4 linked regions of the Caenorhabditis elegans genome follow. The protein of the gene in region 1 purifies or fractionates together with the protein of each later gene. This does not show direct contact. Each region holds a gene or a part of one and is shown in the gene's direction. Other genes may lie near its edges.

Region 1 (7,853 bases):
CAAAGTTATTTAAACTGAGAATTGAAAGCTACACTAACTTCACAATTTGTAATTCCATTTTCCGTGACTCTGGTCTCAATCCGAGACAAATGTGTCCGATTTGAAGAGCCATAGAATAATATTCATTGACATATTTTTCGTTTTCCTGTGCCCATATTCCAAAATCAACGAGAGCAGATTTCCCATTCGATGATTTTGTGACAGTCTGATGTTCTTCTGGGACATTAAGATCTTTGTACATGTTAGAAAGTTCTTCGTCAGACAGAAGTTTGTCACAGTCGACGTCCCAGATTCGTGCCAACTCTAAAACAACTTTTTAGTTTCTCAAAATAATTTCTTAAAAACTCACGAGAAATTCTCCCTGGTAGAGGTCCACGACAAAGAGCCGAAAGTGTACAAACGAGCTCTCTGAAGTCAATTTGACCATCTCGATTCTCATCGAAAACAGCGAATAATCTCTCAGCATAACTATCCGGGAAGCATCCACCCAATGCTTGTTTCCACTTCTCTTCATTCAGTTTGCAGACAGCTCGATCACTGATCGTGGCGAACACTTTCTCTAACTCGATAACCTCGTTCACGGATACTGAAAAATGGTTTTTGAAATACGGAAATCAAGATAATTTAAATCTTACAATGCGTCACATAAGACATCACTTCGTAAAATGAGATATAGGAATCATTGAGCGGAATCGTAAGCTTAGGAGGACTCAATCCCCATGACGCGAACTCGTGATATTCTTCGATAAACCCTGAAAATAAATAATTTAATATTATTTCTGAAATGTTTCTTGACTGACTCGATTGTACTTCTTCTACTCTACACAATCCAACAAGAGATGAAAGCAAATTGTCAAAGGAAATGGTTTCAGCGCCATGAGAGAAGAAGCTGAACAGCAGGCGTCGTTTTTCTTCTGGTATCTGCGCGCCTCCGAGAACATGATAGCAGAATTCCTTAAATGGTGAAGTTAAAAAAATAATTAAAAACAGTTACGTCATAATTAATGCATCCATTTTTGAAGCGTTGGAAAGCTTGGCGAATTCGTCGATACTCCTCGTCCGATACTAAAAATTTGAGTTTATGTTTGTTTTGTAACATCCCTGAAACTCACTATAAGTTTTAGCATCTTCCGCACTGATAATCGGTGCGATAGCGTTCGAACGTCCAGTTAACGTGTTACCCATTTCGGATTATGGCATTTGAGCATCTGAACCAGATTTTCTTGCCGAATCTGAAAGAAAAAATGTAAAAATCAATTTATTTGAAAAGAAAAGCATTTGTAAAAGTTTTTCAGTGGAGACCGACTTTAGAACGATTATGGAAAACAGTTTATTCCAATAAACCCCACGAAAAAACACGAATTGCGGGAAAAAATAAAAGACTTGTCGAGAACTGTCAAAAACCCTCGCGCAGTGAGACAGTGTGTGAACTTAAGAGACGCAGGGTGTATAATGCAAACTCGCTCTGTTGCGATTTCAGAATCACTTCGAAAAAATTTTTGCATTCGAAATCATTTCGCTCATTTTTTCATCTCGAGTTTGGTTGTAGAAGTTGTTCTCCCATTTTTTGTGTTATTCTTGCACATTTTCAGTCATAAATATGTACCTGTAACCTGATCAATCAATCAATGTCCGTCTAGTCGCATTAGCGTGCAATTTGAGTGTAGAGTAATTCCGATTTGGAAATCCTAAAGTACATTTTCAAGTAAATGCTATCTTTTTGGTTGTATGAAAACTTGTGACAGCTCTTAGCAGAATGTTCATGACAACCGCCTTTCATTCACTGCAAATTATTACTTGCTCATCGCTTCATCTATAACCGTCTCATCAATTGCAAGTTTCAGCTAAATGTTCGGCCAGAACAAATCATTCGGCTCATCGAGTTTTGGCGGTGGCAGCTCTGGGAGCGGTCTATTTGGACAAAACAACCAGAACAATCAAAACAAAGGATTGTTTGGTCAGCCAGCCAATAACAGTGGAACTACTGGCCTTTTCGGGGCGGCACAGAACAAGCCGGCAGGATCAATCTTCGGAGCGGCCAGCAACACTTCCAGCATATTCGGTATTTTGATCAATAATTGTATGCGTTTGATTTATTTTAATATTTTAGGAAGTCCGCAGCAGCCTCAGAACAACCAGAGTTCATTGTTCGGTGGAGGGCAGAACAATGCCAACAGAAGTATCTTTGGGTCAACTTCTTCAGCAGCTCCCGCAAGCAGTTCCCTATTCGGTAACAACGCTAACAATACTGGAACCAGCAGCATTTTTGGTTCCAATAATAATGCACCATCTGGTGGAGGTCTCTTTGGAGGTAAACAATTGATTTTCGATAAATAAATTAATCTTGTATCAGCTTCAGCATCGACCGTATCTGGAACCACTGTTAAGTTTGAGCCACCGATCAGTTCTGATACTATGATGAGAAATGGGACAACTCAGACAATTTCCACGAAGCACATGTGCATTTCTGCAATGTCGAAGTACGATGGAAAGAGTATTGAAGAGCTCCGAGTGGAGGATTACATTGCAAATAGAAAGGCTCCCGGAACAGGAACGACTTCCACTGGCGGTGGGCTTTTTGGAGCATCCAACACAACAAACCAAGCTGGAAGCAGTGGGCTTTTTGGATCAAGTAATGCTCAACAGAAGACTTCTCTGTTCGGGGGAGCTTCGACGTCATCTCCATTTGGTGGGAACACGAGCACAGCAAACACTGGAAGTTCATTGTTCGGTAACAACAACGCCAACACGTCTGCTGCAAGTGGATCTCTTTTCGGAGCTAAACCAGCGGGCTCGTCACTGTTCGGATCTACAGGTAAGAATAAATCTAGCATCAACACAATTTTTAACCTTAAACTTAGCTACAACAGGAGCTTCAACATTCGGTCAGACAACTGGATCGTCTCTTTTCGGCAATCAACAACCACAGACGAATACTGGTGGATCGTTGTTCGGGAATACACAGAATCAAAATCAATCTGGGTCCCTGTTCGGCAACACGGGGACGACTGGTACCGGACTCTTCGGCCAAGCTCAGCAACAACCACAGCAACAATCGAGTGGATTCAGTTTCGGAGGTGCCCCAGCGGTGAGTTAAGATATCCTAGAATTTCAATATTTTATTAATTTTCAGGCGACAAATGCTTTCGGTCAGCCGGCTGCTGCAAACACCGGTGGAAGTCTCTTCGGAAATACTTCGACAGCCAATACTGGCAGTTCGTTATTTGGTGCGAAGCCTGCAACAAGTACCGGCTTCACATTTGGAGCCACTCAGCCAACAACTACAAATGCCTTCGGTTCCACAAATACCGGAGGTGGATTGTTTGGAAACAATGCAGCAAAGCCAGGTGGTTTGTTCGGAAATACGACGAATACTGGAACAGGCGGCGGTCTCTTTGGTTCCCAGCCACAAGCTTCTTCAGGAGGACTGTTTGGTTCAAACACTCAAGCTACACAGCCGTTGAATACTGGATTCGGAAATCTTGCTCAACCGCAAATTGTAATGCAACAACAAGTGGCCCCGGTACCTGTGATTGGCGTTACGGCTGATGTCCTCCAGATGCAAGCAAACATGAAGTCATTGAAGTCGCAGTTGACAAATGCGCCGTATGGTGATTCACCACTACTCAAATACAATGCGAATCCAGAAATTGATGGGAAGTCTTCGCCGGCTAGTACTCAACGACAGCTGAGATTCCTTGCTGCGAAGAAAGGCGCTCTGTCATCGTCTTCTGATGCACAAGATTCGTCGTTTATCATTCCACCAATCAGCAAAGTGATGAGTGATCTTTCTCCAGCAGTTACCAGGTCAGCCGATGTCACCAAAGATTTGAACTACACTTCCAAAGAAGCGCCACCATCACTTGCTCGCGGACTTCGAAACAGCACATTCAATCCGAATATGTCGCTGACAAATCGAAGTGTTCACGAATCAAGTGCCCTCGACAAAACTATCGACTCAGCTCTGGATGCTTCCATGAATGGAACTTCAAATCGTCTTGGAGTTCGTGGATCCGTGAGAAGATCGAATTTGAAGCAGTTGGACATGTCTCTGCTCGCAGATTCTTCGAGAGTTGGAAGAGAATCCCGTGTAGCTGATCCAGATGCTCTTCCTCGAATCTCTGAATCCGAAAGACGTCAAGACGTTGTCACTTCCACTCCAGCAGTTGACCCCGTTCAGGCTGTAATCCAGAGACATAATGACAGAAATAGAGATCCACCATCGTTGAACTTGGATACGACATGCGATGAGCACACTGGCTTGGAGCCGGTGTCTGCTGCAACTAGTTCAGCAGCATCTGTTGTGTCGACGCCTTCTGAAGAAACTGTTAATGTCAATTCGGCAGCAGGAGTGAAGCTTACAAAGCCCGACTACTTTTCTCTTCCGACAATCAATGAGATGAAGAACATGATCAAGAACGGACGTGTTGTGTTGGAGGATGGATTGACAGTTGGAAGATCGTCGTACGGAAGTGTCTACTGGCCAGGACGAGTCGAGCTGAAAGATGTTGCTCTCGACGAGATTGTTGTATTTCGTCATCGCGAGGTGACGGTTTATCCGAATGAAGAAGAGAAAGCTCCAGAAGGTCAAGAACTGAATAGGCCAGCAGAAGTGACACTCGAAAGAGTATGGTACACTGATAAGAAGACCAAGAAAGAAGTGCGAGATGTCGTGAAACTCTCCGAGATTGGTTGGCGCGAGCATCTCGAGAGACAAACGATTCGGATGGGAGCCGCATTCAAAGATTTTCGTGCAGAAACTGGAAGCTGGGTCTTCCGTGTGGACCATTTCAGCAAGTATGGATTGGCCGACGATGATGAGCCAATGGATGGGTCCCCTCCACAGCAAGCACTACAGGCATCTTCTCCATTACAAGTGGTAAATTTTTAAAACTCATTTTACCCTTTTACACAAATAGTTTTCCAGATCGACATGAATACATCTGCTCGAGACGTGAACAATCAAGTGCAAAGAAAGAAGGTGCACAAGGCAACGGATGCTCACCATCAAGAGGTCCGTTTTGAATGATTGTCACTCACTATAATTCAATCATCACCGTATTTTAATTTTCCTTCTAAACGTTTTGCTGTTTCATTTAAAAATTTTCTGCTTTCATTCTTAGCATTTCACATGACTGCTTGCCAATACCATCTAGGGCAGGCTAAAGACTCAAATTATTCTCGTTTATTCTTTTCTAACTCAATAAATTTGTTTTTAAAATTAGCCTCTTCAAATGGTATTGGTAGACAGACCGTTTAGGGTTTAATATGGAGAGCCATCAGCAGTTATTTGTTTCAGATAATTCTGGAACGAGTTCCGGCACCTGCTGCATTAGGTGATGTTGTGCCGATCATTCGTCGTGTTAACCGAAAAGGTCTTGGTGGTGGAACATTGGATGATAGTCGAGAAGAATCATGCATCGGAAATATGACCACCGAATTCAATGAAAGTGGTCATGATTCAATTATTGAAGAAGGTCAGCAGCCGGAAAAGAAGCCGAAACTTGAACTTCTCGCTGATTTGGAATACGAAAGCAGTCGATTCATTCGCAATCTCCAGGAACTGAAAGTCATGCCGAAGGCCAACGACCCAGCTCATCGGTTCCACGGTGGTGGACACTCTGCTAAAATGATTGGATATGGAAAGAGCAAACTGATTGATATAGGAATTGTGAAGGGAAGAAGTTCACATGTCGGATGGAGTGAAACTGGATGTCTTGTGTGGTCAGCTCAACCCCGACACAATCAAGTACTCTTTGGGACAATTGATAGAACATCGGACGTGAATGAGGTAATATTTGTGACTTTATAAAAGCCCTTCTGTGATTTACAGTCTATTTGTCAATTGGATTTCTAAGTACTTTTTTACACCGTTCTCTTCTATGGCCCATTTTTAATTTAATCAATTTTCAGAACACGCTAATCTCAATGCTTGATGTGAATGTTCATGTATCTGAAACCAGTCGCAAGGGTCCATCTTCACAATCCAACTCGGTTAAATCTTCGCTCACTTCTAACTTCGTCACTTATTCTGACTCATATTCATCCATGTTTGCCAAGTACATCGATGTCGCTCAAGCTGGTGGATATGATGGACATGTTTCTGTTTGGAAGTTGATATCTGCTCTATTCCCATATGAACGTCGAGAAGGATGGTCTTTCGAGCGTGGTGAAGAAATTGGAGAATGGCTTAGAACAGAAGCAGTGAAGTCTGTTCCAGACGATAGAAGTGCGGATACATCTTCAAATGGTGTTTGGAATCAACTCTGTCTTGGAGACATCGATAAAGCTTTTCAAATTGCGATTGATAATAATCAGCCACAGCTTGCTACGATGCTTCAGACTTCTGCTGTGTGCCCAGAAGCTACTGTTCATTGCTTTAAAGCACAACTTGACAACTGGAAGAAATGCGAAACTCTTCATTTGATTCCGAAGGAAACTCTCAAATGCTATGTTCTGATGTCAGGACTATCACACTACGAATGGGATCAAGACGGAAAGAATCATTCGATCAACTGTCTTGATGGACTCAATTGGATTCAAGCACTCGGTTTGCATGTCTGGTATCTTCGTGCATGGACTGGTCTAGAAGAATCTTACGATGCTTATCAGAAAGATGTCAATGCTGGCCGTGCCGCTTCTAATCGTGGAGATCTGCCCGGAGAACTCATCAAATTGGCATGTGAATCACAGCACTCAGTGGAAGTTGTACTTGACTGTGCAGCTGGAGAAAATCCCAACGATTATTTCCTTCAATGGCACGTATGGAGCTTGCTCTATTCGGTTGGATACCGTACAATGTCAAAGACTTCGGAAACAAGACTTCACAGAAACTATTCATCTCAATTGGAAGCATCAAGTCTCTCAAAATATGCATTGTTTGTTTTGCAGCACATTGATGATGATGAAGAGTGAGTTGAATTTTAGAATCTTTCAATTTATAAATATATTTATCCAGAAGATCAACAGCAGTTCGTTCCCTCCTCGACCGTATTGCTCGTTTCACCGACAATGATATGTTTGATTCTATTTCCGAACAGTTCGATATTCCTTCGGAATGGATTGCTGATGCTCAATTCTCAATTGCAAAGTCAGTCGATGATTCTACCCAACTTTTCGAATTGGCTGTGGCTGCAAAGAACTATCTGGAAATTTGTCGCTTATTTGTGGATGATATTGCACCAACTGCAGTTGTAGCTGGAGATCATGACGCTCTCAAAGCAGCATGCGCGATGGTTCGTCCTTTCGAAAATCAGATTCCCGAGTGGGGTGCGACTGGAATGGTCTACACTGATTATTGCCGATTGATCAATTTGATCGAAAATGATGCGGAAGAAGAACTCTTACAGGACGTGCTTGAAAGTCTGGAAACTCGTCTACATGCTCCTACAATCAGCAAGAACAGTCTTCAAAAGTAAGCTATTGGGACATAAGTTTTTTTTAAAACTATTTATATAATTTCAGGCTCTCTCTTCAAACAATTGGACGTGTTTTGTTCGAGTACCGTGCTGATAAGAATACACTTCCAGAGTGGACAAAGCTTCTCGGACATCGGCAAATGTTTAAGATCTTCCGTGATCGTTCGTCTTGGGGAATCGAAAGATTCACAATTGAATTTGACTAGACTAGCCACTTTTTAATTTATTCATTTTTCACCTGATTCTAATTTTATTTTTTTTATTTACATTTTCCTGCCCTCTCCGTCTGTCTTCCTCGTATATCATCATTTCCCGAATCGTCTTTTTATTACTATGAATATGAACTTTTTGTAGGATGTTATTACTGTTGTGTTCTATTCACATGAGAAAACTAGTACAGAAATTTAGAAATCAGCAAAACGATAAATTGAGTAC
Region 2 (7,857 bases), on another chromosome or scaffold:
CAAAATTGTCTTCGGAAGTTTCAATTCTCGATTGCATTGCTAGCAAATCCTCTTCCATCAGTTTGTATTGCTCCATTTTCTCTTGAACATTTTCTTGGCCTAATTTGAGATCGACATAATCGTCCATAACTTCCTTAACTCTCTTCTGCGACGCTTCCTTTGCCTCACTATACCGGCGCTGATACATTTGCAGTTCTCCCTACAAACTCAAATCATTTCTAAATAAGCATATGATAAATTACTTACTCTCAGGATAGTTATTTTTGTTTTAAGCGCTTTGTTTTCTTCCCATGTTTGGATGATGGGGATGCTACGAACATCAGCAGACGAAAATGCTCCTGACAATACTTGCTGTTGAGTGGCACTGGTCGAAGACGTTCTTTTGTCTCCTTCAACATTCAGAACTGGTTGCGACATAGATCTTCGTGGCTGGCCTAAAAAACCTTTGCATTTATGCAGTTATTGATTTTAAATGTTATAATTACCCTCGACATGCTCGAGATTGGAGTCCTCGTTGAGCACAGAATTATCCTCCATTTAACGCGAAGTTTTCTGAAACAAGAAACGGGTTCGAAAACAAAATTGAGCGTTTTTTTGGGATTAAGAGTTTTGAGTCAAAATGAACAGGAGGTTGCAAAATTTGAAGCTTCAGCACCGTTCTTTGGGCGTGCATAATCATGAAAAACAAGTGCGGACCAACTTTTGTTACTATGGAAACGTAAGAATTTCGCGGACGCGGAGAAAATTCAAAATTCACGTTTAGGCGCGCGTTTTTCTGAGGCCCCACGAAAAGGGGAGCAGAACGAAAAGGGGATCTGCAAAAAGGGGAGATACGAAAAGGGGAGCAACGAAAAGGGGAGCTGGCACTGTGCCAAACGCACAAAACGCAATTTTTCTCACGCAACGCACGTTGATTTTTGAAATTTTCTTCTAGAAGATACGCTTAACAACACGCGACGCGTAACATCGGAGCCGATGCACCATGTTTCGGATCGGTATAGGTTCAAAAGTGGTAGAATTATATAATTTATTACTGATAAATCCGTTAAATGATAAAAATGAGAAAGCTCATATATTTAACATGCGACCTGCCGGTCCAAGAGTAAAACGAAGAAGTGACGATTTCCTTGCGTGGTGTCGACGTGTTGGGGTTTGATGTGCATGTGTGGTAGTACTGTAACACGCGTGACGTGTGTGTCTTTTGGCGCGGCTTTCAAACAGGAGTTTCCCGGCTTTGTCATTGTTGATGACTCAGTATTCTGCGTATTCGCGACAATCGTTGTATCGTTTTCTTCGAGAAAAATAGCGTTTGGCACAGTGCCAGATCCCCTTTTCGTTGCTCCCCTTTTCGTATCTCCCCTTTTCGTATCTCCCCTTTTCGCAGATCCCCTTTTTGCAGATCCCCTTTTCGTGGGGCCTCGTTTTTCTTGACAGAGAAAAAGTGTGCGCATGTTGCGAAATACCATGCGGCGGTATTGCTCATGCAGCCACGCCCCTTATTTTTGAATTCGAATGGAGCTCCATATGGAGGCGTTTTCGGCTCAATTCATCATTGTTTTGTAAAATTTTACATCGCAAAGTGTCAAAATATGAAGCTTATTGTAAAAACTCACAAATTTCTAACAAGTTTTTCTTTGAATCCAATGAGAACCTTCTCGATAAGTGATTAAAATTTAAAGTGAATTGTTTTCTTCCATTTTTTCACGTATAAAAAAACGTATAAAAAACAAGTAAAACAAGTTCACGCCAATGAAAAATTGTTTTTAACGATATTTAAATATTTTTGAACGTGTTTATTTCATCTCCATATTTCTCTTTTGCTTTAACATCGTGTTTTATGCTTAATTTCAGATGGAGCTGGTTTACGGGTCGGAAATCAGCTTCACGGATGGATTTGCTATAAAGCCGGCTAGAACTTTTGTGGTAAACACCAGTAAGTTTCAATTTCATTAAATAATTGTTTCTACAACAAATTTCACTTTTTTAGATGCGCCGCTTCATTCGAATGGATTTGATGTGCAACCGTCCGCAGGAGTTGCAACATTTCCGCACTGCTCAAATTACGGCGATCGGATTTTCCTGTGGCGTGCGATTGGCCAGAAACTGTTCATTGAGGAGCGTTCTTTGCTCTACTCAATCACGGATGGATCGTTGTGCATTGACTTCACACGCACACCTATTATTCCTGGAACATCGATAACAATTTTCGAGGAAGGGGTTTTATGTATTGTCGTTCCCACAGCTTCTGCAATTCATCGTTTCTACGCGAGACTCCACTCCAAAGGCCATGATGTTTGTTCTCAAAAATTTCCATAATCGAATGAGAATAATTATTTTCAGACGTTCTCAATTCTTGCAAGAATTAAAGAAGATGACGATTTCCGCCGATTCAGAACATCTCACTCCCTTTCAACACCAGGGCGCCCGATTCGTGCAAGTGTTACACATCATCCTTCAAGAAATACGGTATAAAAATGGAAATTGATTACAACCTATATTTCGAATTTTGAATTCAGATTTCTTACTGTACCGCTGAAGGGCAGTTGGTCATTGTCACATTGGGATCATACACGGAATCCAGTGATAAACACGAAGAATTCACAATGGGAGAAGTTGGTCTTCTGGGAAAACTTCTAGGTGGCACTGATAAACGAGTCAGTGATGCATGTGTTATGAAGAATCTTCGCCCGACTTCTGGAGTCACGAGAGAGCGAAAAATTTCAGTCCAATCCGATATTGTGTTCGCTGTTACCAGAGACGGATGGGTGCAAGCATGGAATGTTGAGACGAAAAAACAATTGCCAAGCACTATTGACTTGAATAACTACTTTGCTTCAGACGGAAAATCTTTGAATCGAGATCTAGAATCTGCAGACTTCGAGGAAGAAAAGTCTCCAATGGAACCAACTGAAACTGTATATTCTATCAGAGCTTATTCATTCGATGTGGATATTCTTCTGATTGTTGGATGTGATTTGGCAGTTTCGGGAAAAAGCGTCGGGATGAGAGTTCATATTCTCAAAGTTTCAAATGATCAAATTCAACATCTACAAATGTTCGAAACATCGATGTCCGTTGATGAACGACTTGTTGATCTCGAGCTTATTCAAAACTATTTCCCATCAAAGGAATCGGAAAGTCTTGATGAGACACAAGATGGGTAAGAATCGTTGTTATAAAATGGGTTTTTTTCTTGTCTAAATATAAAATTGTTTCAGGGAATTGTATAATCCTCTCACAGCTGCACTATTTTCACTTTCTGCTCTTTTCAAAAGTTCATCTGCAAAGAAAACCTATTCGATGAAACGGATCTCATTTGCTATCCAATGGAAAAAGGGACGAGTTTTCACAGATTTCGATTGGCATTCCGTTCGTCAGTTCACTTCGCCTGCCACTACCAAAGAAGAACCGATCGGCAATACGGATGAAGTGGAACCTGCAATTGAGCGCCCATATAACCTCTCGGCAGATTCAAGCATAGAAACACTGATTGATGTGGTTTTTGATACAGATATCTATCCATTTGATATTGTTTTCCGTGCTGTCCAGGTGGCTAAATAGAAAATGTGATACGTTTTTAATGTCTCTTTTCAGATTGTTTCCGACAATTTCCGCGGTACACTTGGTCAGGTACGGAACAATAATTGGCCTGAACTATCGAAACTTGTGGACACATACCTCACATCAGTTGAATTCAACCGGAAATTTCAGCAGAAGACTGATAGAAGTATTCGTTTGAGATTAAATGCTCCACAAGAATCGCAGAAAACTGCGCTGAAAGAGTATGTTTATTTTTATGCCTGCAGTAATAATAATATTTTGAAACCGAATTACTTCCAGTTTCTGGTGGGCTCTTCTCCGTGCATGTGAAGAACTGGATTTCGCCGCTCGCGGTGCTATTTCACTCGCTCCAATTCAATTTTGCGGAGATTTGAGAATAATGGCAGTTGTTCATCGCGATCGAATGACTTTCCTCGGCGATAATAATACCGAGTTCCTTGAAATTATTAGCTCAGAGAACATCCCGAAACAAGGAAATGTCGAAGAAAAGTTCAGAAAGTTGCCGAACAAACATTTCATTGATTTGATTGAAGAAGCATCAAAGTTTGCTGATAGACGTGTATTCTTGATGGTAAGTTTTGATCAGGGGTCTTCGGCGATTCTACAAAATGTTATATTGCGTCATGTTGGTCCGATATTTTTCATTAAAAATTAGTTGCAATATAAAAATATTTATCTGTAAAATGGCATTTGTTCCAGATCGAACACTTGGAGACGTTCTTAAAAATAGTTTGGAAGTTGCGAATTGACAAATTATCGAGTTTGTTTTTCGGCAATTGGCAATTTTCAGACCATTTTTCTGGATTTTCTTAGATGTTTCAACTGGATTTAGTGTTATTTTCAGATAAATACACTGACTTTCTGTATATTGAGGCTAGTTTTTAATGAAAAATAGGAACAGCATGGCGAATTAGTCCATTTTTTAGAATTCATTCCTGGTTCTGATGAAAACAAATTCGAAATTATGGCGTTTTTTTTTTCAGAATCGTGAGAGAGCTAGGCTTACAAATGCCAAGAACGGAGTCGCCGTGGTCGAGGATGATAATGTCGAAAATGCATATGATTACGATTCAGACGGCCGATTCATCAACATTAAAACTGCGCTTGAAGGTCCAATTGTGAAACTTGCTGCTGCATTTGTCGAAGCGTCCACATTTGATAACTCGAAACCGTTTGAAGACCCACATCCTCAAATTTTTGGAGGATCTTTCACACAAAGTGTTGTATCGGCCAATATTCGAGTTTCTGTAGAGTCACGTGTTCATTTTGCACTCACACTACAAACATTGCTCAACGCAATCACTGAGGTAACGTTATTATTTCTCATTCTCGCAATCTTACACATTATCAGAAATTGCAGAAGAAATCTCGTGCTGGCGCCCCTTCATTTGGAGATGTTGAGGCCTTGTCATGTGAATTAAGAGAGATCATTCGTGTGTATAGAGAACTCAATGAACAACTGGACATCAAGATTGTGCAGTAAGAAACATTTATTGCAACATTCAAAAAAATGTAATTATTTCAGAAACGGAGCCAAAATGAGCATTGGAACATGGTTGACATCGGACGCCGAGGGACTTTCAATGATGAAGAAAGAGGGTGGTTACGGACCACATGGCTATGATGAAATTCGAGAAAATGACTTCAATTGGTTCGTTGGCGTGACAACTGAAGCTGCGATTCGAGCTCTACTTTCATCATCTGAAATTCTTGTTCTACCGCGGCGACTTGTTCTGCAGAAGCAATATAAAGTTCTGCTCACGATACTCAACTCATACATCAGTGAAACTCGCGCGTTGAAGCCTGTGATCACATTTTATCGTGGTATTGCTTATTCTGGAACAGATCATCCTGTTAAAGCACTAAATTCTTTTCAATCCTGTCTCGATGCGTTTTCGGAAGGAAACAATGCTCTCCGTAAAGCGGTGTACTTCTTGCTTCCAAAACGATTTGACGTTGCACAAGGAAAAGATCCAGTTGAAGAATTGACCGCTTCTGAATATTTTTTGACAGTTGTCCGGTTTCTTCAAGAGCATAATCATGCGGAGGAAGTGTGCTCTGTCGCAGTGAAAGCAATTGAAAATCTTCCGATTGAGAATGAAAGCGTGCAATTGATTTCTAATACTCTGTTCAACCATTTGACTAATCGTCGTGAGTGGTTCCAATCACTCAAGCTTATTCTCAGGACAACACTGCGATCTGAAACTCGGAGAGCTTCGATTCGCGAGCTTCTATCTCTAATGCTTGCTTGTGGAGAATGGGAAGCAATTGCTACAATGAAGTTTGGAGAGCATGAGCAGGTTGTTGAAGACTTTTTGAGAGATGCTGCATGTCGTCAATCACCAAGTGAGAAGAAGCACTATTTCGAGTTACTCTTTGCGTTTTACGTCGCTAGAAAAGACTTTAGAAAAGGTAATTCTCCAAGTTTTAAATAAAGCGCACTTAATTTATTTACAGGAGCTTGTGCAATGTACGAATATGCACGTCACATCGAGTCAACAACGTGCATGACCCCCGAACTTCTCCGCAGAAAACGTGACTGCCTTGCTGTCGTGCTCAACCTGCAATCAGTTCTTGGAATGGAGCCAGACGGTTTTTAATGTTCTGAAAATTATTCTCAAATTTGTTTTTCAGACGATCGAGCTATCTACGATGACGCTACTGACACGAATTTAGTATTTCCTGAACCTTCAGATGACGAGGATGAGCTGATCACCGAATCTGATTCGTCTGGTGAAAATGGCAAATTGCCGAGCGGAAACAAAGATAGTGGAAGTGGTACTGGCAACAATTCTTCACCTGATAATTCGAATGGAACCAGCTCGTCAGGAACAGGTGTAGATTTGGTAGCACTGAAGGCAAGGCAAATGGCATATGCACTTGGATCGGATGACATGGATACTGATGATACAGAAGATGATATGAAGGGAGGAAGTATTCCATTGTTCAAACGTAGAAAGTTGCTGGTTCTCAGTGAAAAAGAGTACGTCTTTAGAGTTTGTTCATAGAGTTCATTGTTTTCTTTCAGTATTCGTGATGAATTGGTCTTATGTTCCGCACGAGTTGGTCTTCTTTCTTCTGATCAATTCAAGGGAGTTCCACCGACTGATCTTAACGAATTATTTTCATTGCTTGTTGATAATCAACATTTTGATGAAGCATTCGACATTGCAAGGTGATTTTTATAAAAGATAGAGGATGATAAAACATAAATATATTCAGGCAATTCAATCTGGATTCCCACAGGCTATTCTTTACCATGACACGTGAAGCAATAATGATTGATGCTCTTCGGGATGACCTCAACATCGAAATGGCAGCAACTCATCAAGCCGGATGGGTTCGTCTTAACCGCAGGCACTGTGCTGCCGTCGCTACCGCTGAAGAACATTGGTCGGTGGTTCGTGGGTTGGTTGATGCGGCTCAAGCAGAATGGCCTGGAGATTCTAGACCACTTCGAGGATCCACTGAAGCGTTTCTTAGTTTTAAGCTGAATGTTCCTGTCTGGTTGCACAGTGTTTTTGAGGTTTGTTAGCTGAATAGAGAATAGCTTTAAAATATTTTTCAATTATTTCAGAATAATGACGCTAACGATTACCTTAGATGTCTCGTGGATTATGAAAGTTATTCAATTGCTCTTCAAGTTCTCAGTGATATTGTCGAACAAGAAACTCTACAAGCTTCCCAGTCAAATGCAAGAACCTGGCTTCCATACGGAATCATTGATGAATTGATGATCAGGAGTGCCGATTATATCCGGAAAATGAGTCTAAAATCTCCAGAAGACCAAGTAGTAGCTGCAGAAGTTGCAAATTTGAGAAAAAGTGCTGATCAGAAAATGTTGATCTATTTCCGAAAAGTGGCTGACTTCGAGCAAGCTCAAAAAATGAGCAGTAGATTCTTTGATAAATAATTTATATTTTCTATCCCATTGTATTTCTTAAAATTGATTCCTCTCCACTTTTCATCTCACATTTTCAACAGGTGTTTTTTCAATTAAGGATTATCTTTTGTGTTATATTCATTTTCGCTGATTGTTATTACTGTTTTATTCTCATTCTCATATTATCCGGTTACGACGAGATGAATGAAATTTTCAATGAAAATTATTATTTCCGAGAGAAAAAAGGATAATCCGTTACCGCATACTTTGCCGCTTAAAACCGTTATAGACAAAATATAAAATTTAGATGGAGACATTCATATTGTCGTCTGATTCTGATGATGATTCTGGACCACCACCATCAAAAAGAAGAACAATTGAAGGAATTCCTAGGAGCTTTAGTGGAGATAAGA
Region 3 (4,246 bases), on another chromosome or scaffold:
CGATAAACAACGCGAGAGGTGTCAAGGCGGAGTGTTGTTGCTGAACAAAATTTTCTTTTTTTTTCGTTCGACACTGAAATTTCAACAAATTGCAATATTCTTGTTGGAAAAAGTTAGCAAAACAAGAATTTGCTTTTAAATAAAAATTTATTTTGTTTTCCTGCTACGATTTCAAAGACCATAACTATTTTTCTCTTCAAATCGATTAAATCTTCTTCTCACCAAAAACTGACCTATTCTCATTTCAGACAATCCGGAAACGATGCTCGGATGGCCTTATTATTTTCCTAGTTCTCGGACAAGCGATTTATTTTATGTATTATGCCCCAGCATTTCTCCAGGTTTGTTTTTAGAAATTGTGTTGCTGTTAAAAGAGTCTCTTGCATTTCAGTGGCTTCTCTTCGATCTCACCTCAATCTGCGCGGGAATATGGACTAACATGATTGCATTCGTATGTGGATTTGGGATTGTTAATTTCTATGCTGGAAAAATGAAGGTAATATTAATTTCAATAATATTTAAATTATTTTAAAAAAATTTTCTCAGATGTTCCATTACACCGCTTCGATTTTGGAAATAATAGGAAAGGTTCCTTATTTTAACGATCTCATGTGGAAAAGAAGATCTCAAATAAAGTAACAAAAAACATCTCATTTCGGAACTTATCATTAAAAATGTTATTTTCAGATTCACAATGATAATCACCTTGCTTCTGTCAGTCAGTATGTTTATATCACGCGATTGGATTGTTGTCAAAGAAAAGACCATCAAAATAAAAAACTTCACTGCTGATGGAAATCGATTAAAATTGGCAGTGATCTCTGATTTGCACGCTGGTGCAAGTGTTTATTCGGAACAAATCAATCAAGTTGTCGAAAAAGTGCTTGAAAATCCAGTTGATGCTATTCTGATTGTTGGAGATATGGTAGATGCTCCTGTTGCGGAAATCGAGGATAGAGTTCGACCAATTCTGTAGGCGAATTAGTTTGATTCACAAAATTTCAATTTTTGTTTTCAGTCAACTCCCTGCTCACGCACCTACTTATTTCGTAACTGGCAATCATGAATATTATTATGGAGACGTTCAGGAATGGATAAGATTCTACAAAAATGGCCGTATTAATGTTCTTGAAAACGAGTAAGTTTTACAAAGTTTTTGAGTTTTTCTTGGAAGTAACAGTGATATTTTTCAGAAGTACAATGCTGAAAGGAGTCTGTTTGGCTGGAGTAAACGATATTTCAAGTCCGAAATCTGGAATCTTGAACACTAAAATGGATCTACCAAAAGCCATCCATCGATGTCCATCAAATACTTCTCAAATCGTCATGGCACACAATCCGGCATCAATTCGAGAATTCATCGTAGATCATCCGAAAGAATTATCAGAAATTGATATTGTCTTATCTGGACACACTCATGCAGGACAATTCTACGTAGTTATTCCAGTAGTTTATTGGCTTCTACCATACTTTTATGGACTCTATGAGATTCCATTTGGAGGTCAATTGATGGTAATGGCAGGATCATTGTATCAAGGACCACCCATGAAAATGATTGGAATGAGCGAAGTTTGGGTGTTGGAATTACTGGGAGAATAATGTGTTGTAAAATGTAAAATTCTCATTAAAACGGTTCGATGACTATTTTCTGTATGATTTCGTTGTAATTTATTTGATCTGTCTGTCTGAAATAAAAGTGTCTTCTTTGCTCCAATTTATTTTAACATTATTGATTTTACCAGTGTTCGGAACACTGTAATATTTTATTTATACAATCATTCTAATTATATTTCAATTCCTGTGATTTTAGGGTTTATCGACGCTTCAATTCTTTTGGAAAATGTCGATTTTGGCAGAGCCGAAGAGAAAACAAAAAATTAGTATTGATCCCCAAAATTTGACATGGAAAAATGACGATCAGAAGTAAGTTTTCTCCTATCAATAATCAGGTTTCATCAACATTTTACAGACTGTCAAAAAAGCTTATGGAGAAAATGGGATGGTCCGAAGGAGATGGCCTGGGAAGAAATCGTCAAGGAAACGCAGACTCTGTGAAGCTCAAGGCAAATACTTCTGGAAGAGGACTTGGTGCTGACAAAATGGCTGATTATGATTCTACATGGATTTCTCATCACGACGATTTCGCCGATCTTTTGGCAGCTTTGAACAAAAATAAAGAACAGGAACCAGAACAAACGGAAGAAGAAAAGAATGCAGCTGCGGAGAAGATTTCCATTGAATTGAAAAGCAAATCGATTAGGAGAAGAATTCAGTAAGTTTGAAACATCATTTTAAAAAAGTATAAGTATATCAATTTTTAGTTATCAAAAATTCACTCGCGCCAAGGATACAAGTAACTACAGCGATAGCCACAAAAAAGGAATTCTTGGATATGGAAGACTCAAATCTGACAATGCCGAAGAGAAAATCGAAGAAAAAACTGAAAATTCATCTGTAAAATCTGATAGTTCTGATAGCCAAGCTGACAGTCAAGAGAAAAAGGAGGGAAATAACACTGTCAGCACCCTATCCGTCGGTGACTATTTCGCTGCAAAAATGGCTGCTTTGAAGGCAAAACGGGAGGCTGCAGCTGCTAATCAGACAGAAGTGAAAATGGAAATAAAGACTGAAGTGGAGGAAGAAGAATCGGATGAAGAAAAAGCTCGTCGAAAAGCCGAAAAAAAGGAGAGAAAACGATTGAGACGAGAACAAAGAGATAAGGAAGAAACTCTGGAAACAGTTGAAACTATTCTGGAAGTAAAACAAGAAGTTAAGGAAGAAATTATTGATGAAGAGTTTGATGAAGCTGAACGTAAACGACTGAAAAAGGTAGATAAGCTATTTTTAGAAATATGGTTGACAGCAAGGGTGTCGTTTTTCGATTTTTTCGATTTTTCGATTATTTCGAGGGAAAATCGAAAAACGAAAATGTTCGATGTTTCGATTTTCTGAAAAATCTTAAAGTCGAAAAAAATGTTCAGAAAATTAATCATAAAATAAGATTTAAAAAATCTAATTTAGCTTATATTGATGAAGGAACGTAAAAATTTCTTTAAAAAATAAGGAAATGACCAAAATTTTAAGCTAATTTTTTTTTAATTGAAAATTTTTTCGAAATATCGAAAAATCGAAAAAAAAACGAAAATTTCGATTTTTTGTTACATACTTTGAGTAAGTCACAAAAAATCGAAAAACCGACACCCGTGGTCGACAGTATCTAGTGCTAAACATCAAATACCTGACTTTATTCTTGCACAAAAAATATTTTGATTCCCTGAATTCGATTAACTTTTTTCAAAAAGTTTATCAATTTATTATCATAGCTTCAAATTGAGTGATAATATTATAAACATGCCCATTACCGAAAGTGTCATCTTGACAAGGTTGCACTTTTATCAAAATTGTCAAAATTATTTGAATAAACCTCAAATTGACACATGTTCCAGGAAAAGAAACGTCTGAAGCGACTCCGCGAGCAGCAACAACCGGAAAATGAAGGAGCTGAAGGTGGGGAGGCAGATGAAGAAGAAATTCCAAGAAAAAGAAAGAAGCACACCGAAGATGAGCACTAACTTCCATACCGACTAAATTGCCAAATTTTTTGTTTTCAATTTCTATTGTTACTGTTTTCCGTTTTATTGTTGTACTACTCGTATACTCTGTTTCTTTTTTCCTTCTGCTACACTTGATAGATAAAACAAACGTTTTCTTGGCTTGTGCTCCCGTTTTCTTGTTGCACGAAAATAATTAGCTTGCTGCTCTTTCTGAAATTGACTCCTTCGGGAGTGGGAGTAATGAATAGAAAGAGGAAGGAGGAGCTGCAAAAGCAGAAGAAGAAGAAGAAAATGAAATTGAAATTGAAATTGGATTAGTTGTGAAGAAGCAGATTCGCCGAATTTGAACAAAACGTAAAAGTCTGCAGCTGCAACACTAAAAAATGTTAGCTGTTCGAATTTCTAAAAGGGTAAGTTGGATTTTGAATTTAAAATTTAGATATCTGTCAAAGTTTTAGAGTTTTATTATGATATTGTAAGTGAATTTTTAAAAAACGTTACCAATTCCAGATGGTAGGTAACCTCTACATCGGAGCAAATGTTAAACAAAGAGCACAACTTGGAGAAAACTATTTAGAGGGAACAAATGTGGTAGCAGTTCATGGATTCAAGCAAATAGGGCTTGTTGCTCAGATATTAAAGGATCATGGTGCAAATGTAGAGGAGTTCATGTGTGATTTGAAACACTCCTC
Region 4 (4,251 bases), 7.3 Mb from region 1:
TCGAGTTTTCCAGTGTAACGTTACATCTGAAATAAATTAATGAAATGTGTGACAAAAAATAAAATTTTTTCCTAGCGATAATTCACCTAGCCACAATGTCCCCATTTTTCAGTGTTTCTCTCGGACGATAGCTTTGATTGTTGAAAATGACCAATGGAGCTCCTCGTTTCGTCGAAATACTGAAATTGCATAGTTTCTATGTTTAATTGTTTTAGAAGTTAGAAGGCATACCAAAAATCTGAACTATTCTCGCTGATATATTCCGGTGCCATTTCAAGCACCCTCTTGGGCTATTGGCAATCGGTCTATAGTGCATCAGAGAACGTAACACGTGTGACTTGCTGGAATTTTATATTTTGATAGAGTTATTGATTAATAACAACCTATTTGTCAAAAACCAATCCGGATGGTATGGAGTCTCTTCGTCTTCAAACGGAGATTGATATGAATTGTGACCTAAAAATACAACGTCTGTTATTTCTATTTAATTATTAGTTAAGACCTACACAGAAGATTGAATTCACTGGTTTCCTGTAGATCGTGATCCATTTCTTCGGGAAATACAGCTGGATCAAAATCAAAAAATCTTTCAGTATTTGCCATGGAATCTGTTGTATCCAAGCTTGTTTCCTGAGTAGAATTGGCTATTGAATCGCATTCCGGGATATCGTCAGTGGATCTCGGCTCATCGAGCTCTCGAGAATTTGAAGGAAACTGCATATACGAATCAGACCGACGTGGTGATGCAGGTGGAGTAACCAGATCGATTGTTGCAGGAGTCGATTCACATACATTTGTAGTAGACGCTTTCGGATTTCTTTTCTTCTTTAGATCCCTGTCGAACGCTGAAAAATACTTTTCACTCTTCAATTAATCTTTAGACATCAATACTTGCCTCTAAAAAAGCGTTTGGCTCCGCTTGGATCACTCTCAGCATCAAGTTCTTCTTTTTCCGGGAAGGAAATGCTCATTTTCGATTAATATTAATTTTGATCGATTCGAAATCGATTGCAACCCGTTTTTGTCATCGAAAATTCTGAAAATATCCGTATTTAGCTCGAATAAAACTAATTAATTTCCATTAAAAATCCGTTTTTAATTGAATTCCGTTCGAAATTTCCTGTTGGAAAAAGAAATAAATAAATACGAAGAAGCGTGCGGCGCATTGCAAAAAGCCGTGCGGCGCATTGCGAAGGACTGTGCGGCGGGCTTGCGAAAAGGCGCGCAGCACATTGCCCTACTGAAAGCGTTCCTTACGAAAAAATCCCCTTACGAAAACGTACCCCCTCGATTAGAATAGAACAGTTTAGCAATTTCTAACAATTAATTAAACAAAATTTGGATGAAAAGTCTTTAAAATGTATCAATTCATTGTGCCGCAATTAATTTAGGCCAACATTAAATTTAAAAATTTTACATTTACCGCATCTTCTCGTTTGTCCGAGAGGACTACACCACTCGCTCCTAGCGAGACCTTCCACCGGCGAAAGTGCCTGCGCCTTTAAATTTTGAATCTATTTTTTTGTTTCTACGCAACGATTTTTCTTCTTTTTCTCTTATTTTTCTCTAATATTCACTATAAATATTTATTAATTTTCAGAAAAATGCAAGAAGACGACTCGGTGAAACCTTTTCAGACCGTCGGCGCTCACAGAGATCTCATTCATTGTGTATGTTGGCTTGATTTCGAAAAATTAGATAAAAACTGAAGATTTTTATTTCCAGGTTTCATTCGATCCTCATGGCCGACGAATGGCAACATGTGCCAGCGATATGACAATGGCGATTTGGGATCGAAAGCCAGACGGAAATTGGCGTAGATCTGCACACTGGAAGGTAGAAAAGAAATTTCAGAAAATAAAATAATTTTCCTCATTTCAGTGTCATGGTGGAGCAGTTTGGCGCGTTATTTGGGCTCATCCGGAATTTGGGCAGATTGTTGCGTAAGAAACTAGAAACTGTCACCCGAATATACTTTATTGATTGATTTTCAGCACCTGCTCCTACGACAGAACGATTGTAATTTGGGAGGAGCAAATTGTGAGATCAGAGAAAGATCTGAGTGAGTATAATTCGCTCTAAATATAATCCAAAACATTATGTATCTCTCAGAGCAAAAAGAATCCCAATGGATCCGAAGAACAATCATCTCCGATAATCGTTCAGACGTCACCGATATCTGCTTCTCCCCGCGCCATCTGGGTCTCATGATGGCATCATGCAACGTTCTCGGAACCGTCAGAATCTACGAAGCACCGGATATTGTGGACGCTTCTCGATGGAATCTTATTCACGAGCTTCAAGCGTTTCATACCCGATGTGGATGTGTCACATGGTCACTTTCTCGTATGCACCGCCCGTTGATTGCTGTTGGTTCGGATGAGAAGAAGGCAGAGAACAAGAAACGAGTTGTGATCTATGAGAATATTGATGGATTGAGGAAATGGCAGCGAATCAACTCATTAGTCTTCGATCTACCATGCCCGATTACTGATTTGAAGTAGGAAGAACACGCTCTCCTCGGAGCCGAATAATTATTACAGCGCGCTTGCCTTTCCATTGAAAATAGCAGATTTTTCAGTATTAAAAAATCCGCTCTTTGAATAATTTTTTGTCTAGAAATTCCAAAAAATAATCGAATTTTCTAAAATCCGATATTTATCGGATTTGTGTCTAAAAATTTCAAAAACAATCGTATTTTCTTGAAAAATCCGCAATTTTATCAATTTTTTGCCTGAAAATTTTAAAAATAATTGAAATGTTCTGAAAATTCCGCTATTTTAACAAAATTCAAAAAATATTTAAAATTTTCTTGAAAAATCCGCTATTTTAACAATTTTTTGTCTAAAAATTCCAACAAAAAAAATTGAATTTTCTGGAAAAGTCCGCAGTTTTATCAATTTTTTGTCTGAAAATTCCAAAAATTATTGGAATTTTCTTGAAAAATTCGCTATTTTAATAATTTTTGTCTAAAAATTTCAAAAAAAATCGAATTTTCTTGAAAAATCCGCTATTTTATCAATTTTTTGTCTGAAAATTTCAAAAAAAAATTTCCGCTATTTTAACTATAATATTTAAAATGTTCAGATTCTCGCCGATATCGATGGTGGATTCGCATCAATTAGCCGTTGCATCAGGCGATGTTCACGTCTACAACATCAAAGTGGCTCGTTCGGCGATTCTCGAAGAAGACGGTGTCGAGAATCCGATTCAGCTGGCGGATTACAATCTGATCAAGGTGGCACTGCTCGGGGATCATCGAAAAGCATGGAGGCTTCGATATAATCTCATGGGATCAGTCATCTCGTCGACGAGCTTGGATGGAACACTGAGATCCTGGAAATGTTGGGAAAAAATCAAAAAGAGTCAAAAATGAAATAAAATTGATTTTCAGCACTCTTCGTGAACCAATGGGTAAAGCTGAGTGAGATGAATGTCGACGACTACGTTCCATCGCCTGAAGAAGTTCGCGCCTTCATCTCATCGAAAACTACCGAACGTCTTCCATCACAACTCGAGAAAACCTATTTCTAACGATATTTTTCTCTATTTTTTCTCGCCGATCATTTTTTTTCCGAATGATTTCTTATCAAAGCGTGTATTATTATTTGTTATCATCATCTGAAAACTGAAAACCGAGAACATTATCACCGATTTTTTTTTGATGTTTAAGTATTTTATCAATCTTCTGTTTAATTTTCAGATTTTTCATGCTGATCGGTTTCTGCAAGAATTAAACATTCCACTTATCTAACTTATGTAATTTTCAACGGTTTTTGTGCCTAGAAATATTTTTTGGACGTTTTTGTTAATTCTTTTTGCATTCAACATTCACCTAAATTCGAAAATTAAATATTTACTGAAACCCGATACTGTCTTTTTCACAGTTTCCACAATACCTCCATCAATTATTGTTGATTTTATCTCTTTTCCAAATCTAGGGATAGTGGGTTACTCGCAGAGAAATAGAGAAACGGCAAGGTCATTTACCTGGCCTTTTCTCATCCACACATGTCGGAATAATTGTGGTATTAGTGTCCTTATCTGCAAAATTTCGATTTTTTAAAACTTTTGTTGTCTTTTCCACAATTTTATTGCAAAATTTAAGCACTTTCTAATTTTCAGAATGACTCTTGGATGTGCAAAGCTTGACAAGCAAGTTGCCGATTGGCTCGCTTGGGATAAGAATGATAAGAATCGTAATGAAATTCAAAAGCTGGTTGATGAGAAGAACGTTGATGCATTGAAAGC

Evidence for each region.
Region 2: the proteins of npp-10 (region 1) and npp-6 fractionate together in Caenorhabditis elegans (co-fractionation; one large-scale study listed by BioGRID). This does not show direct contact.
Region 3: the proteins of npp-10 (region 1) and T23G7.3 fractionate together in Caenorhabditis elegans (co-fractionation; one large-scale study listed by BioGRID). This does not show direct contact.
Region 4: the proteins of npp-10 (region 1) and npp-18 fractionate together in Caenorhabditis elegans (co-fractionation; one large-scale study listed by BioGRID). This does not show direct contact.

Annotation. Positions count from the first base shown.
Region 1 is NC_003281.10:6,013,544-6,021,396, reverse strand, and holds the start of npp-10 (Nuclear pore complex protein Nup98), read left to right. Parts: upstream 1-1,834; 5' UTR 1,835-1,848; coding exon 1,849-2,062; intron 2,063-2,110; coding exon 2,111-2,311; intron 2,312-2,353; coding exon of another isoform or gene 2,354-2,359; coding exon 2,360-2,815; intron 2,816-2,861; coding exon 2,862-3,088; intron 3,089-3,133; coding exon 3,134-4,879; intron 4,880-4,927; coding exon 4,928-5,014; coding exon of another isoform or gene 5,015-5,029; exon of another isoform or gene 5,030-5,224; intron 5,225-5,299; coding exon 5,300-5,791; intron 5,792-5,913; coding exon 5,914-6,911; intron 6,912-6,958; coding exon 6,959-7,414; intron 7,415-7,464; coding exon 7,465-7,624; 3' UTR 7,625-7,853. Other genes in the region: Ubiquitin carboxyl-terminal hydrolase cyk-3, read right to left, coding at 39-303, 350-586, 636-752, 801-954, 995-1,065, 1,113-1,185. UniProt on the Caenorhabditis elegans protein: Nup98 and Nup96 play a role in the bidirectional transport across the nucleoporin complex (NPC). Required for the nuclear import of hcp-4 during mitotic prophase, this step is essential for centrosome assembly and resolution.
Region 2 is NC_003279.8:5,174,985-5,182,841, forward strand, and holds npp-6 (NUP160 middle TPR domain-containing protein), read left to right. Parts: upstream 1-1,845; 5' UTR 1,846-1,851; coding exon 1,852-1,933; intron 1,934-1,987; coding exon 1,988-2,292; intron 2,293-2,340; coding exon 2,341-2,466; intron 2,467-2,516; coding exon 2,517-3,160; intron 3,161-3,218; coding exon 3,219-3,549; intron 3,550-3,594; coding exon 3,595-3,782; intron 3,783-3,840; coding exon 3,841-4,132; intron 4,133-4,544; coding exon 4,545-4,868; intron 4,869-4,912; coding exon 4,913-5,040; intron 5,041-5,086; coding exon 5,087-5,973; intron 5,974-6,018; coding exon 6,019-6,153; intron 6,154-6,195; coding exon 6,196-6,544; intron 6,545-6,589; coding exon 6,590-6,736; intron 6,737-6,783; coding exon 6,784-7,087; intron 7,088-7,138; coding exon 7,139-7,474; 3' UTR 7,475-7,669; downstream 7,670-7,857. Other genes in the region: spd-5 (Spindle-defective protein 5), read right to left, coding at 1-199, 247-434, 486-537; slx-1 (Structure-specific endonuclease subunit SLX1 homolog), read left to right, coding at 7,752-7,857.
Region 3 is NC_003280.10:9,165,395-9,169,640, reverse strand, and holds T23G7.3 (G-patch domain-containing protein), read left to right. Parts: upstream 1-1,810; 5' UTR 1,811-1,840; coding exon 1,841-1,923; intron 1,924-1,969; coding exon 1,970-2,272; intron 2,273-2,321; coding exon 2,322-2,829; intron 2,830-3,446; coding exon 3,447-3,572; 3' UTR 3,573-3,712; downstream 3,713-4,246. Other genes in the region: T23G7.2 (Calcineurin-like phosphoesterase domain-containing protein), read left to right, coding at 249-341, 392-496, 547-635, 688-972, 1,019-1,138, 1,194-1,599; W07A12.8 (DapB_N domain-containing protein), read left to right, coding at 3,938-3,964, 4,065-4,246.
Region 4 is NC_003281.10:13,295,253-13,299,503, forward strand, and holds npp-18 (Nucleoporin SEH1), read left to right. Parts: upstream 1-1,600; 5' UTR 1,601-1,604; coding exon 1,605-1,670; intron 1,671-1,725; coding exon 1,726-1,836; intron 1,837-1,881; coding exon 1,882-1,943; intron 1,944-1,994; coding exon 1,995-2,062; intron 2,063-2,112; coding exon 2,113-2,500; intron 2,501-3,087; coding exon 3,088-3,344; intron 3,345-3,394; coding exon 3,395-3,534; 3' UTR 3,535-3,741; downstream 3,742-4,251. Other genes in the region: pgm-2 (Phosphoglucomutase-2), read left to right, coding at 4,127-4,251. UniProt on the Caenorhabditis elegans protein: Probable component of the nuclear pore complex (NPC) which is involved in the trafficking of macromolecules between the cytoplasm and nucleus. As a component of the GATOR complex may function in the amino acid-sensing branch of the TORC1 signaling pathway.